2 linked regions of the Neurospora crassa OR74A genome follow. The protein of the gene in region 2 purifies or fractionates together with the protein of the main gene of each other region. This does not show direct contact. Links are inferred from orthologs where the notes say so. Each region holds a gene or a part of one and is shown on either strand. Other genes may lie near its edges.

Region 1 (6,021 bases), on a different chromosome or scaffold from region 2:
TAGCGCCTGGCGACCGGAGGAGGCAACTGCTCGTGACTTATTGTTGAGCTCGGTCCGAGATGGACGCCCCCGTCTTGATATGGCGGACCTGCGTGCGGGTTGCCGTGCATCTTGTTCTCCGTCATCATCATCTTCTTCTTCTTCTTCGCTGTCGCTTTCATCAGACGTAGTAGAGGCACTGTCGCTATCGTCGGAAGAGTCTTCACGATAGTTGATGGACGACTTACGCGGGCGAATATTGTGATTTGTAGTGCTGGTGTTGTTGTCATCACCTCTACGGCCGTTGATCGAACGACGTGGACCACCACCACCACTGTTCCGGGCTGCCCCTGCTGCTGAATCCCCGCTGCGAGCGCTTCGTCTTAGTGGGCTCGCTGGGCCCAGATTTGATGTCGCACCGCGGCCGATTGCAACACCAACAGCGGCTCCCACAGCACCACCCCCCTGACTCCCGGCTCGGCGTGGCCGCAGACTACGGCCACCACCCACTGCCGCCGCTACTTCTAACGCCTCCGTCGCCGATAATGCAGATGATCTAGTACGGCTTCGCGCCGAAGCCCGCCGGGCCTCCACCTTGGACATGGCTACTAGCTGTGCTGTTCAGCAAGCGGCATCGAGTGGTGCGAAAGGGTTTGTTTGCAATTGATTGTTTGTTTGTGGATATGTACGAGTAGCAAAGAAAGAATATGGCAAGGTGCATCCAGCAAGGTTGCAGTCAGTTTGTTTTGTTGCCTTGGTGTTGTTTAAAGAAGACGGATGGTTGCGAGTCGGAAGATGGCTTCGGTTTGCGACTGATGATGAATGGTCCGGTCGCAGTGAGCACAGAACCAGTCCGGAACAGGAAGTGGTCAACCCTGTCAGTCAATCAATAAATGCCCTGGAAGTGGGAGGCGCTTTGGGTTTGCTTGCTCACTGTGCGGAAGTGCTAAACCGACAATGCCGTTCGATTTCGTCCCTTTTCAACCAATCACGGGACCCAGCCAGCCTGCTGCACGACCCACATTAGCTAATCAAGGACTTATCTCAAATGATGCGACCGACCGAGTTCTTGGAAGTGCAACTGGGAAAAGCCAAAAAACCGCTGGTACTAAACTAACATCAGAACTCAATGTCATGCTGTTGATGTTGTCGACTATATTCGTTCCAAGCATCGTTGACATATGACTAATCTTTAAGGATGCAAAATTCTGGAAGGAGAGACCTCGAAGTGGATGCAGGCAGAACTCCGGACCTTCCTGGCATGACACTGACAAAGCGACTGCTCAAGATAAAGACAAGACGGACCAAGCCGCTCTCGATGCACCGTCCACAATGAGGAAAAAAAAGAAAAAAAACCAGGGACTCTTTGTATCATGTCCATCTTGCACCAAAGTCAAATTCCGGCATTTCAAGGGATCAAAAAGAGAACAAAAAGAAAAAAAAAATTTAAAATTTTTTTTTTTTTTTTTAAATAAATTGGTGACGCCGCAGCATACTATGCTGGCAAAAGAAAAGATAACTCGATCCACCCAGGGGTCGAACCTGGAACCTCCTGATTCGTAGTCAGACGCTCTGCCATTGAGCCAGCGGACCTTGTTGAACATCACCTTGGCATGTTCCAGCTATAGGAGGACATCGAGGTATCATTTCCTTTTTCACTAATTCTAGTCAGCTGCATGGGCCTATGTAAACATCGTGCGGTTCAGCACTCAACATCCCATATACAGCCCTTTTCTATCTTGAAACGCATCGTGGCCTGTCCATGTGTATTCGTAATGACGCTACAAACGTTCCGTGATCCCTTGACTGTGAACCTCCCTTTCCCATGACCCTGTTTCCCATTAACGCCCGACAATGCATCAAACCATCTAGTAACAAGCTTGTTGAACGAAAGTTTGTCCCTAGACATTCCTGCCGTCAAGTCGCCTTCCCTTGCTCTCTGTCGGCTTCTTCTCGCCTTGCGCCGCCTTGTCGTCACCATCGCTGCTCTTCTTCTTCGGGACTCCTCCCCGGAGCGTCTGTCCCTGGCCCGCAAAGTGCGGCTGCTTCGCCGCCGCCGCCTCCCTCTCCTTATCTGCGGCAGTTTTGACAGGCTTGATCTCGTAGCCCAAGAAGAGCTTGTTGGGCGGCAGACGCAACGGCAACGGGCCGTTGTTGTTTTTCCTCCTGGGCAGCACCACGTCCTTAACGTTGGTCGACGTACCCGCCACCGGCGTCGCCGGCTTCGGTGTTCCCGTCTTGCTACCCTTCTTCGCCGCCAACCGCAGACCCTCACCTTGAAAGTTGCCCACCGACGTGGTGGTGGCTCCTGGTGCGATGGCATCGTAGTTGATAGCCTGCGCCATGGTTCCCTGGTTGTGCAAAAGACCACCCGCCGGAAGTCCTCCGCCAACAGCCCTTCCGTTGCGTGGTGTGCTGGTACCACTGCCTTGTGTCTGTCGCGAAGGCTCGACGTAGCCAACTGGCGGCGCAAAATCGACGCTGACGTCTGTCTCGATCATGCAGACACCCATCTTGGCCGTCTCCGGCTTGACGTCCAGTACCGCCATTTCGTAGATCTCATCGTTGTACTCAAAGTTGAAAACGTCGCCCTTGGTCAGCGCCGCAAAGTTCCGGAAGGCCTTTTCGAGGACGGCACGAGGGTCGCTGATGTCGAGGAAGTTGACCGATTGCGGTTGGAGCTTGACAAGCCTGGCAAGCTCGAGAGATGTCGTCTTGATCTGAATCATGTCGCCCACGTCGAGCTTGAGGGTCTGCATCATCCACTGCGGGATGTAGGCCCTGCCCTCCTCAGCCACGAACTCCAGAACACCGGCGTGTGTGTGGGTGCCCTGCGAGCCGTTGATAAGCTCTAGCATGATGGGCCATTGGACGTGTAGTCGCGAAACCTTGTCGAGAGCGGAGGGCGGGAGCAGAATCTTGGAGCCGTAGTTGAGTTCAGGTCGTTCGGCACCGGGCGCCATGACAAGGGGGTAGCAGCGGTAGTACTCATCGAAGCGTTGCGCGCCCCGAGAGCGACCAGTGGCGCGACTGTAGATGTCTCCATACTGTCATGGGCACATGTTAGAATGTTTCAAGAGATAGAGGGGTCGAAAAGCTGTCTTGATAATCGAGCGTGAGGACAAGGATAGCTTACCATGATCGCGAGGGAGCTGCTAGAGATGGAGTAAAGTATTTTGCAGAAAGGGAAACGACAGGGAATTTGTATTAAGAGGGGAGATCTCGAGGTAAGCTTCGCAGAATAGGTAGTGGGATCCGGAACAGCAGAGCGTGACAAGCGATAGTGAAAGGGAGGTTGCGACGATGTTGAAATAACCTGACCGCGTGGAAGGTTCCAAAGGCAACAACGCAGATGACATAACTGGGCCCGAAAGTTACAGGCACGTTAGGTAATAATTGGAGCCCTGGCATGGGTACCGTACAGTACCTACCTCTATGTATCTGCCGCCTCGGCGGCCCGGATTGGCGGGGTGAGAAGGTGCCGCCGTGGCGTCAGATCTGTGAAACCGTGCTGCCGTGGCGCGAGCTCCCCCCCTTCTTAAACGCTTAGGTCAAAGGTACCTTGAGCGCTGCCTGTCCACTGCAGAACGCTCTGGACCTTGATGGCAGTGGAGAGCTCCATGTTATCCGTTGGGGCTGACAACGGGTAAGGTACCTCTAGTGATGTTCTTCCTTGATATTCCCAATTCGCCATCTAGATCCTCTCTTAAACACCATCCTCTACTTGTAGAGTTGTCATTCGCCGTCGACCCAGGCAAAACAGTCATCATTTCAGGCCATATCTACACAAAGTCTGCGATACAGGGGCAGAATAGGCCATTCTATCAAGACGACATAACCTTTACACGCTGACGTCAACGCCTACACACCAACACACGAGATTGAAGACAACAGCCACCACCATGTCCTCCCGCTTCTCCGCCGCGCGCCCCAAACGCGCCAGCGAAGCTTACGCCCGCGCCCACCACGGCGAATCGCGCTCCAACGACGACGACGACACCTCCAGCGGGCCGTCCCACAAAAAAGTCAAGTTCGACGTGCGCAACCCCTCCGCGCTCGCGCCCTCAGCGCACGATGACGACCTCGACGAAGCTGACGAGGAGGTTCTTGCCGCCGACGTGATCGGTGGGCTTTCCCGAGCCACCAAGCGCGGCGCGGTCAACATCGATGGGTACGATTCCGATTCCGACAATGACAACCTGGAAGACCGCGCGGAAGCCCGAGGGAAGAGCCGCAAGAAGGGCAAAGACGCCGAGGACGTGGATCTGGCCGAGATGATGGATAATTACAACAAGCCTTCCAACGGGGCAGGGAAAGATGCCGATGAAGATGACGAGGTAGACATGTTTGGCGATTTGGAAGACGACGACGGTGCTCAACCAACGACAGCCGGTGGTGGCTCTGCGAAGGACAAAAAATCCGTCCACTTCCTCGCCGACTCGGAAATCGAAGGGCAAGACCTCTCTTCCAAAGCTGGCGGAACCATCAACATCAACCCCGCCGCCTCAGCCGAATCGGACGACGAAGACGAAGACGACGACGACGAAGAAGCCATAGCAGCCGCCATCGCCGAAGAGGGAGTAGACGAAGAGGTCGGCCTAGGCGGACTGAAGAAACATGCGCCCAAGATTGACGCCTTCAACATGCAAGCCGAGAATGAAGAGGGTGCCTTTGACGAGGCGGGCAACTACATCCGCAAAGCGGCCGACCAAAATGCCGTGCACGATAAGTGGCTGGAAGGCTTGTCCAAAAAGGAAATCAAAAAAGCGGCGTTGGCGCACGAGAAGCGCGAGGCGGAAAGGCGCGCGCAGGAGAGGGAAGATGACAAGATCGCCACTGGGGACTTGCTTAGAAACTTGATCCTGACGCTCGAAAAAGGGGAGACGGCGCTGGAGGCGCTGGCAAGACTTGGAAAAGATCAAACCAAGGGGCCCAAGAAGGTGCCCAAGTGGAAGCAAAAGAGGCAGGAAAGGAAACAGGGCATCGATTCGATGGACGTGGATGACAAGAAGGAGGAAGTGGAGGATCCGAAGCAGAAAAAGATCAGGGAGGCGATTGATGCCATTACTGAGGCGGCGGATAAGTTGTTGGGAAGGGATTATCCGGATATTTACGATAAGGAGAGGGAGTGGTTGGTGAGAGAGTATAGAGCAGAGACGGGCGAGACCTGGGTGGAGCCTACTGTTCCTGAAAAGGAGGAAGAGCAGCCATCGTCACTAAACGGACAACCCAAAATGTGGGAGTTTAGGTGGACAGATGGGAGAGACGGAGGAGGAAGCCAAGGGCCGTATGACGGGCCCACCATGAAGGCATGGCAGGATGCGGGATACTTCAAGGAGGCGGTTGAGTTCAGGCCGGTGGGCGGAGGGGAGGGGGAGTGGTCTAGGGTTGCAGCCTTCGTATGATCATCATGGTTAGGTTTTGTACGATTGTGTGTGATAGTATACCCCCGGTTCCAAGCGACGAGAGAATCAAAAGCCTTATCACCATGCTGGGAACTCCTCAGCAGCTGGTCGTCATTCGTCCCTACTATGCCCTTTCCTGCTACCCCACGCTTCGACTTTGATTCGATTCGTTGTATGATACAAACGGATATTTGCAGACTCCATGCCATCACCATAATCAGTAACATGACAAAAAACCACGACTAGGCACACATAAAGCTTAAGAAAACAGTGTTATCATAACAAAGACGCCTTTTTGATGAGCCATCCCAATTAAACGCCTAGACGAAACAAAATCATAACCCCAAGATTATTCATTAATCCTTGTAGCGCATTGTCCCATGACTGTTTAGCTGCTGGTATCCATGCTATCACCACCAGCCGCAGTAGCCGCTGGCTCTCCCGTAGCACCGCCATTGACACGGAAATCGACCACGCCATCACTGCCGATGAGCCTCTTCTCCGATTCCTGCACGAACTTGACGCTCCTGGCAGGATCGTAGAACAGCTTGAAGCTGCGCTGGACGTCCTCAACGCCGACCTGCTTGGCCTTCCTCTTGGCGCAGATTAGCTGCGACGTCGTGATGAGGTTGCTCGC
Region 2 (6,366 bases):
GAGTCCGGCCGCGACAGGCTGGCGCTCACCAGTGCCGCTGCCTCGCTCGCCCGGATGGCGGGCTGGGTTCCTCTTGTCGCTGGTGGGTTGTGGTTGATGCTATAAGTTGCCTTCCCCCCCCCCCCTGGGAAAAAAAAAAAAAAAAAAAAAAAAAAAAAAAAAAAAAAAACATCGGTTCGATGGATGTTCATATGGGGCAAAATGAGAAGCGGGTTCGGATCCAAATGATACGATGACACTCAAGAAAGGGAGATGATGATTACTAAAAACACCGACCAACAACAACTCAAAGAGGTCGGGTGGTTGGGTGACTGAGATGCGCTGAGATGAGATAATGCGAGGAGATAACAACCTTGAGGTTGTCTGTGTGGCTATTAGGCGCCAACGACAACAACGAGAAGCAAGGTATCGATTATTTGGAGGACGGATCGATTTGTCCACTAGGCGTTTATCTGGGAAGCAGGAAAGGAAAGGTGGATTGGAACCATTTTTTTGTTACAAGATTCCCTAGCGCGGGCGACGGCAGGCGCGCGTTTTCAGTTCTTTATTCTGTCGATTTGTATGTACCTCTTTCCTCTTTCATCCTCTGCTATTCTCGCGACTATGAAATGAACAAATACTGAACCCGGTTGGTATGAACTACTGGTGTCTTAGTGAACGTTTCCCGAGTGTACTGTTTGTTGCTTGACGCAAAAGCCTTCCACTTGACCACAATCACTTGACAATGACATTGTTTCTGGGTTTATGCATTGACCATGGTTTTGACAAAACTGAAATAGGTAGGTACCATCATCACAGATTTCACTCAACTCTTCGTCTCATCCGCTCACTGCACCGTTTGATCACATCAGATGATCGGTTCGGCAAACAGCCGGGCGCCTACTCGAACATGTCATCGAAAGATACCTACTGCAACCGTCATATACGCGGCGAGACGATAAGCACGTATTAGCGCACAACCCATGACCAAGTGGTCAGAGTTCAAGATCATCTGTATCTACTGAACGTGCTCAGCTCTACGCCGGCTAGGCTCACTGGTGCTAGATGGTAACTGCATTGACCGCCGTCAAATAATCCCTCCATCTCAACACCCCTTACTATATTGATATCAGATCCAGGCATTCACTCCTTTCCGACATCCTCACGCCCGAATATACGAGAGACACTCCTGAATAACGTCCTTGAGGCGCTGCTCCCGAGTCTGCCCGATCACCGGAGTCAACCAAGCATCAACTCCCTGCTTCTTCGCCTCCGCTACCGGCTGTGGGCCAATAGAAAGAACCATGCCGAGCGCCATTAGAGCGCGGAACAGGACTTCAGGATCCTTCTGCTTACGCACAGTTGCCTCAACAATCATGATGAGAAGCGCAATTTCGTCCAAGTTCGCATCCAACTTCCTGTCTCTGTAAAATAGGCAAGCAAAGTTGAAGGCCGCCGAAGTCAGGGCAATCTGGAAATTGTTGTTCTCGGCGCCAATCACGCCCTTATCCCCGTCGAGACCAACAATGTGTCCCATAAAGGACAAAATAACACCGGCCTTGCTGGCTACGAGCTTCCGGCCATCGTCAAGCTTGAAAAGGTTGAGAATGGTACGAAGAGCCATCATGACGCTGTTAGCATTTGCTTTTGTTGCGTCAAGCTTGTTGGCGATAAAGTCGCTCAGTGAGCCGTCTGCAGTTACAGTGTCCTCCACGTCAAGTGCTCCCCTGACCGCAATGTCGATGATGTCGCCATAGCGGTCGTCTGTGATGGAAGCCGCAGCAGGCCAGGCGGCGAGGCAACGAAGAATATCGAGCGCTGGCAGCCTGTCCGCGTACGGCCACTGAGTGACGAGTGTGAGGAGAATGGGTTTTGATGCGTCCAAGTTGGCCAACTTTCCGGCAGCAGAAGCTGGCTGAAGCAGCTGCTTGACAAGCTCCTCAAGAATCTCAACATTATCGGGGTTCATCGCGATATGCTTGTTCCCGGCCTGAATGTGCTTGGTGTTGAGCGTCTTGAGTCTAGCAAGGGCCGGCTCAAGTTTGCCGCTGGTCAAACTGAGGAACTCGGTATGCGGCAAGTATTTAGGCTTCGCAGGTTGACTGTCCTGGCCAGGTATGTACCTAGAGTCGGTACCGTAAGGGTCGCTCGAGGGGGCCTCATTGGCCTGTCCTAGGGTGGCACCCTGAGTATTCTGTGTGATGAAGTTGGCGACATTGTCGAGATACGAGATCGGCAGTTCATTATCACCAAGGAACTTGGTGGCCGCGTCGTACGGATTCTGCGACAGGTTGTAAGGGAGCTTCAGTGGTGGCTTGCCATCCTCAATATCCACGTCAAAGACGTAATCGTACTCTTGGCCATTGTACGACACCTTTTTGCCACTGCTACCAGCAGAATCGACGACTGTTCCGACGTGAATCCACTGTTGTTGACCTGCGTAACATGTTAGCTTGATTCACAGACTAAGGGCGGGCTAGTTGCACTCACCCATGGACCATTGGTAGGCGCCAATGGTGCCATCCTCCTCCCTAATCATCTTGATCTGGCCATCCTTGGTCCCGGAATTGGTTTGCATCCAATCCTTGGTATCAAGCTTCTCCTTGTTGATATTAGAGCCGACCTGCTGCTGTGGGATTGCCGAGCTTCGGACAGACTCTTCGAACTGGGCGATGGTTTGGGTGTCCGCTGTCCGATCAGCGCTCCGGGTAAAGACACGGACCATATTGTCGCTGGCACCGGACACAATGTCGCCATTTTCGGGACAGACGGCCACAGTCCACACCGAGATGGCAGGGTGTGTAATAGTCTGGATGCATTCGGAGCCCCTCCAGATTCTCAGAGTGCGGTCTTCTCCAGAACTGACAATTTCGCCGGTGGGTAGGGCGGCAAGTGAGTAGATGAAGCTGTCGTGGCCCTGAAGCTTTCCCACCTCTTTTCCTGACAACTTCCATAGCCGGATGACGTTATCATTACCGGCACTGGCGAAATCAGCACCGCTGGGGTGCCCCTTCAGGCCTGAGGGAAGCTTGCATAATGCGCGCACAACATCACCGGTACTGAGGGTGCGTGAAGCTTCGATTTCGAGGCCCGTAGCGCCTTTTAGTCGGAATACCCGTACGTTGTTATCGGCGCTACCGGTAATAATGGTATCCGCGTCGTATGCGAGGACTGTCCAGACACCTCTGTTGTCCATGTTATGGACGAGCACATGGGCCATCTCCCAAGTAGCAGTATTCCAAACGATCGCTTTGCCATCCCAGCTGCCAGAAACAAGCCATTTTCCGTCGGGCGAGACGTCGAGTGTGCACACATTGTGGCCATGTCCAACTAGGAGTCGCTCGGCATTGATATCAGGTGTCGCATTCGGCTTCTTGACCTCGATGATGGGCTCAGCGCCGCCTGAAACAACCAGGCCGTCGGGGTATTCGCCAGTGGGTGGGATGAAGGTGAGAGAGTTGATGTAGCCGTGACCTTGGCTAACGATAGTGTCGTCGAAGGGCGACTGGCTTGTCGCCTTGCGCCAAAGTCGAACAGTGTGGTCTCGGGAGGCAGAGAGGACGACGTTGGCTGCTGGAAAGCTAACTGCCCGAACCTGGGTGACGCACGTGTTAGCTTTGAATGACGGGTCTCTTAATCGCCGTACTGACATCAGATTCGTGGCCCTTTAGTTGGGCTGAGAGCTTGAACTCCTGCACCATCTTTGTTGTCGTTGTTGTTGGGACCTCGGCCGATAATGATGGGTTAGAGACGGGGGCGGGGCTCAGTCGGGGCGGCGAGCGTGCTCCTTCAGTCGACAACGGGACAACGCCGGCGTACACGGGTCTCAGAAGGGCAATATAAGTCGTGGTTCGGTGCTCGAGCACGTTGAGGGTGAACTAGCACGTAAAATGGAAGAGAAAAGGATGCGCTTGATTTGTAAGGAAACCGAGGGTATACTGATGTTGGGAAAATAGAAGGAATGGGAATTGGGTCGAAGTTCCGATGGCAGGAGCGGTCCTCAGCTTCCTCCCTGCGAACCTGACAGATGACGAACTGGAGTTGCGGATACCACCGCCCGTATCGATACCGGCAGGGGCGGTTGGCGGGGCATCACTGTCGGGTCGTTGAACGTTGCCTGTGTTAGGTTCCCATCCTGTTGACGCACTGCACCTGGCAGGAGGCGGGGGAGCTTGAGCCACTGGGGCCCGGGGGGTGAGGTTGATAGTACGGACAGGAGAGGTTCGTCTGGTCAGTCAATCCTTCCCATGCCCTTTTGCTATGTACATTAGTTCAGGTGACTGAGCCTCGCCGGACTGCAATCACGTCACTTTCGTTTAGACTATTTGCCCTATCATTGTAGTTTGGAGGTGTCAAAATCCCGTCTTCAGGTATTGTAAAGGTTGACGATAGGTTGTGTACGCCTCGACTTACAAGCTCAGGTTCCAGACGTTGACTTATCATCACAGCTATTCACATACCCTAAACCCTGCAAGTTACGAGTACTTGGAAACAACACCATAGTACATTATAGTGCAGATAGTTGCCTTGATATCGGATACTTATTCGGATAAACACCTTCCTGGTCTTGAAATGGCGATAGAACCTGGGACTGTCATCGATCTGATAGCATCCGCGTTGCCCCCTGCCTGCCGGTGGCACCCACTTCCAGCGGATAGGTCTATGTAGTCCCTACATGGAGACTCCGCAAGGGGCACCTGTGACGGAGGGGACACCCTAAACGGCAACCAGGTGCCACCAGTGCATCGCCCCGTTGCAGCCAGAGCAAACGCCAAACCCATTCTTTCTCCTCTTAATTACCTACTCTTGACGGCGCCACGACCTAGAGACATGATCACCACTCTGGCATCATCTCTCCATTTCTTTTCCGGTTAAATACGACGATTTTGGGCTCTCCCTCTTCACGACCGTTACGCTTTCCATTCCTTTGTCCGACTCTTCGACTCGACTTCGTTGCGAAACTGACGATAGACCTGCCCCTCCTGGCTTTGCTCATCATACACGGCGTCATCACCAGCGTTTTCTTCGATACTCTAGGCCGCCTCTCCACGCATACTCCTCACTAATCGACGGGACTTACTGCCTCTATTTCTCTTCAAGGGACGACCGCCGTTCAGGCTTCTTGTAGCCTGCTTCAGTCCTTACATATCACTACATCACGATCCACGATGACCGAACCCGCGCGCCGCCAGACAGTCCCTTTGACCTGCCATGGCCACTCGCGGCCTGTCACCCACTTGAGCTTCTCCCCACTTGAAAAGGAAGATTCCTACTACATGATCTCTTCTTGCAAAGGTACCCATGGGTCTTTTACGGGTTAGCCAACAACCATACATGACGACGGTTACTGACGTGGCTCTTCACTACAGATGGCAACCCAATGCTCCGCGACGGCCAGACTGGTGATTGGATCGGCACCTTTCTAGGGCACAAGGGAGCTACATGGCAAGCAAGGCTCAGCCCTGATGCATCGACCGCTGCCACCTCGTCTGCGGACTTCAGTGCCAAGATCTGGGACACCCACACCGGCGAACTGCTCTATGTCCTCAAGCATGACCATATTGTCCGCGCCATTGCCTATCCGTACGAAAACTCCGGACTGCTGGCAACTGGCGGATACGAGAAGAAGCTTCGCATCTTTGACCTGGCGGATCAGAGGCCGGCTACTTCACCATCGGGCACCAGTCCCGAACCAGTCACAATTGACGCATCCAAAGCCTTTGAGATTGGCGAAGGGGTACACAAAGATATCATCAAGTTCATCGTCTGGGCTCGCGACCCCAACGTAATCATCACCGCGTCTGGCGACACGCTGCGCTGGTTCGATCTTCCCTCTCGTCGTTGTGTGCGTGAGGCGAAACTGGAAGGCGAGATCAAGTCATGCGAGCTGGTTTCACTTGCGCCTTCGCATAGCGCTCCCACCGATATCGGTGGCGGTTTGCCTGTCCTGGCGGTGGCTGCGGGAAAAACCGCCTATTTTTGGGGTGGAAGCCGAGCTGAGGATGAGCTCAAGAGGATCACGCTTCCCCATGGAATTGCTAGTGTTGGGCTGGACCTAAAGGGTAGAAAATTTGTTGTTGGCGAAGAACCGGGTACTTGGGCTCGCGTCTACACCTGGGACGAGGGCCAGGAAATCGATGTGCACAAGGGTCACCACGGCCCCATCTGGTCCATTGCGTTCTCTCCCGACGGCAATTTGTATGCAACTGGGTCAGAGGATGGCACAATCAAGATGTGGAAGAACTGTGACGGCTATTACGGGCTCTGGCGTGGGGGTGTATCCGGCAGTGGCACCGACTAGGAGAAGAAGCATCAATGCCCCGATTTTGGCTCAGCGAAGGAGTACTTTTCCCAACAGACGACGGGTGTATTCAAGGATATCACCAA

Evidence for each region. The genes of interacting proteins can lie anywhere in the genome.
Region 1: the proteins of NCU00880 (region 2) and NCU06856 purify together in Saccharomyces cerevisiae (affinity purification with western blotting; 3 studies listed by BioGRID, with this or other methods). This does not show direct contact. The link is inferred for Neurospora crassa OR74A from reciprocal best matches to the Saccharomyces cerevisiae genes DOA1 and UFD1.

Annotation. Positions count from the first base shown.
Region 1 is NC_026502.1:1,741,217-1,747,237, forward strand, and holds NCU06856 (ubiquitin fusion degradation protein), read right to left. Parts: upstream 3,337-6,021; 5' UTR 3,119-3,336; coding exon 3,116-3,118; intron 3,027-3,115; coding exon 1,881-3,026; 3' UTR 1,598-1,880; downstream 1-1,597. Other genes in the region: NCU06857 (hypothetical protein), read right to left, coding at 1-582; NCU06855 (hypothetical protein), read left to right, coding at 3,882-5,384; NCU06854 (RuvB-like helicase 2), read right to left, coding at 5,773-6,021. UniProt on the Saccharomyces cerevisiae protein: Functions at a post-ubiquitation step in the ubiquitin fusion degradation (UFD) pathway. Has a role in the endoplasmic reticulum-associated degradation (ERAD) pathway.
Region 2 is NC_026501.1:6,880,412-6,886,777, forward strand, and holds NCU00880 (phospholipase A-2-activating protein), read right to left. Parts: upstream 4,256-6,366; 5' UTR 3,681-4,255; coding exon 3,630-3,680; intron 3,575-3,629; coding exon 2,470-3,574; intron 2,416-2,469; coding exon 1,142-2,415; 3' UTR 875-1,141; downstream 1-874. Other genes in the region: ham-7 (hyphal anastamosis-7 protein, variant), read left to right, coding at 1-105; NCU00879 (WD domain-containing protein, variant), read left to right, coding at 5,148-5,274, 5,349-6,280. UniProt on the Saccharomyces cerevisiae protein: Ubiquitin-binding protein involved in protein ubiquitination, sorting and degradation. Acts as a ubiquitinated substrate-recruiting adapter for chaperone ATPase CDC48 by binding mono- or polyubiquitin chains.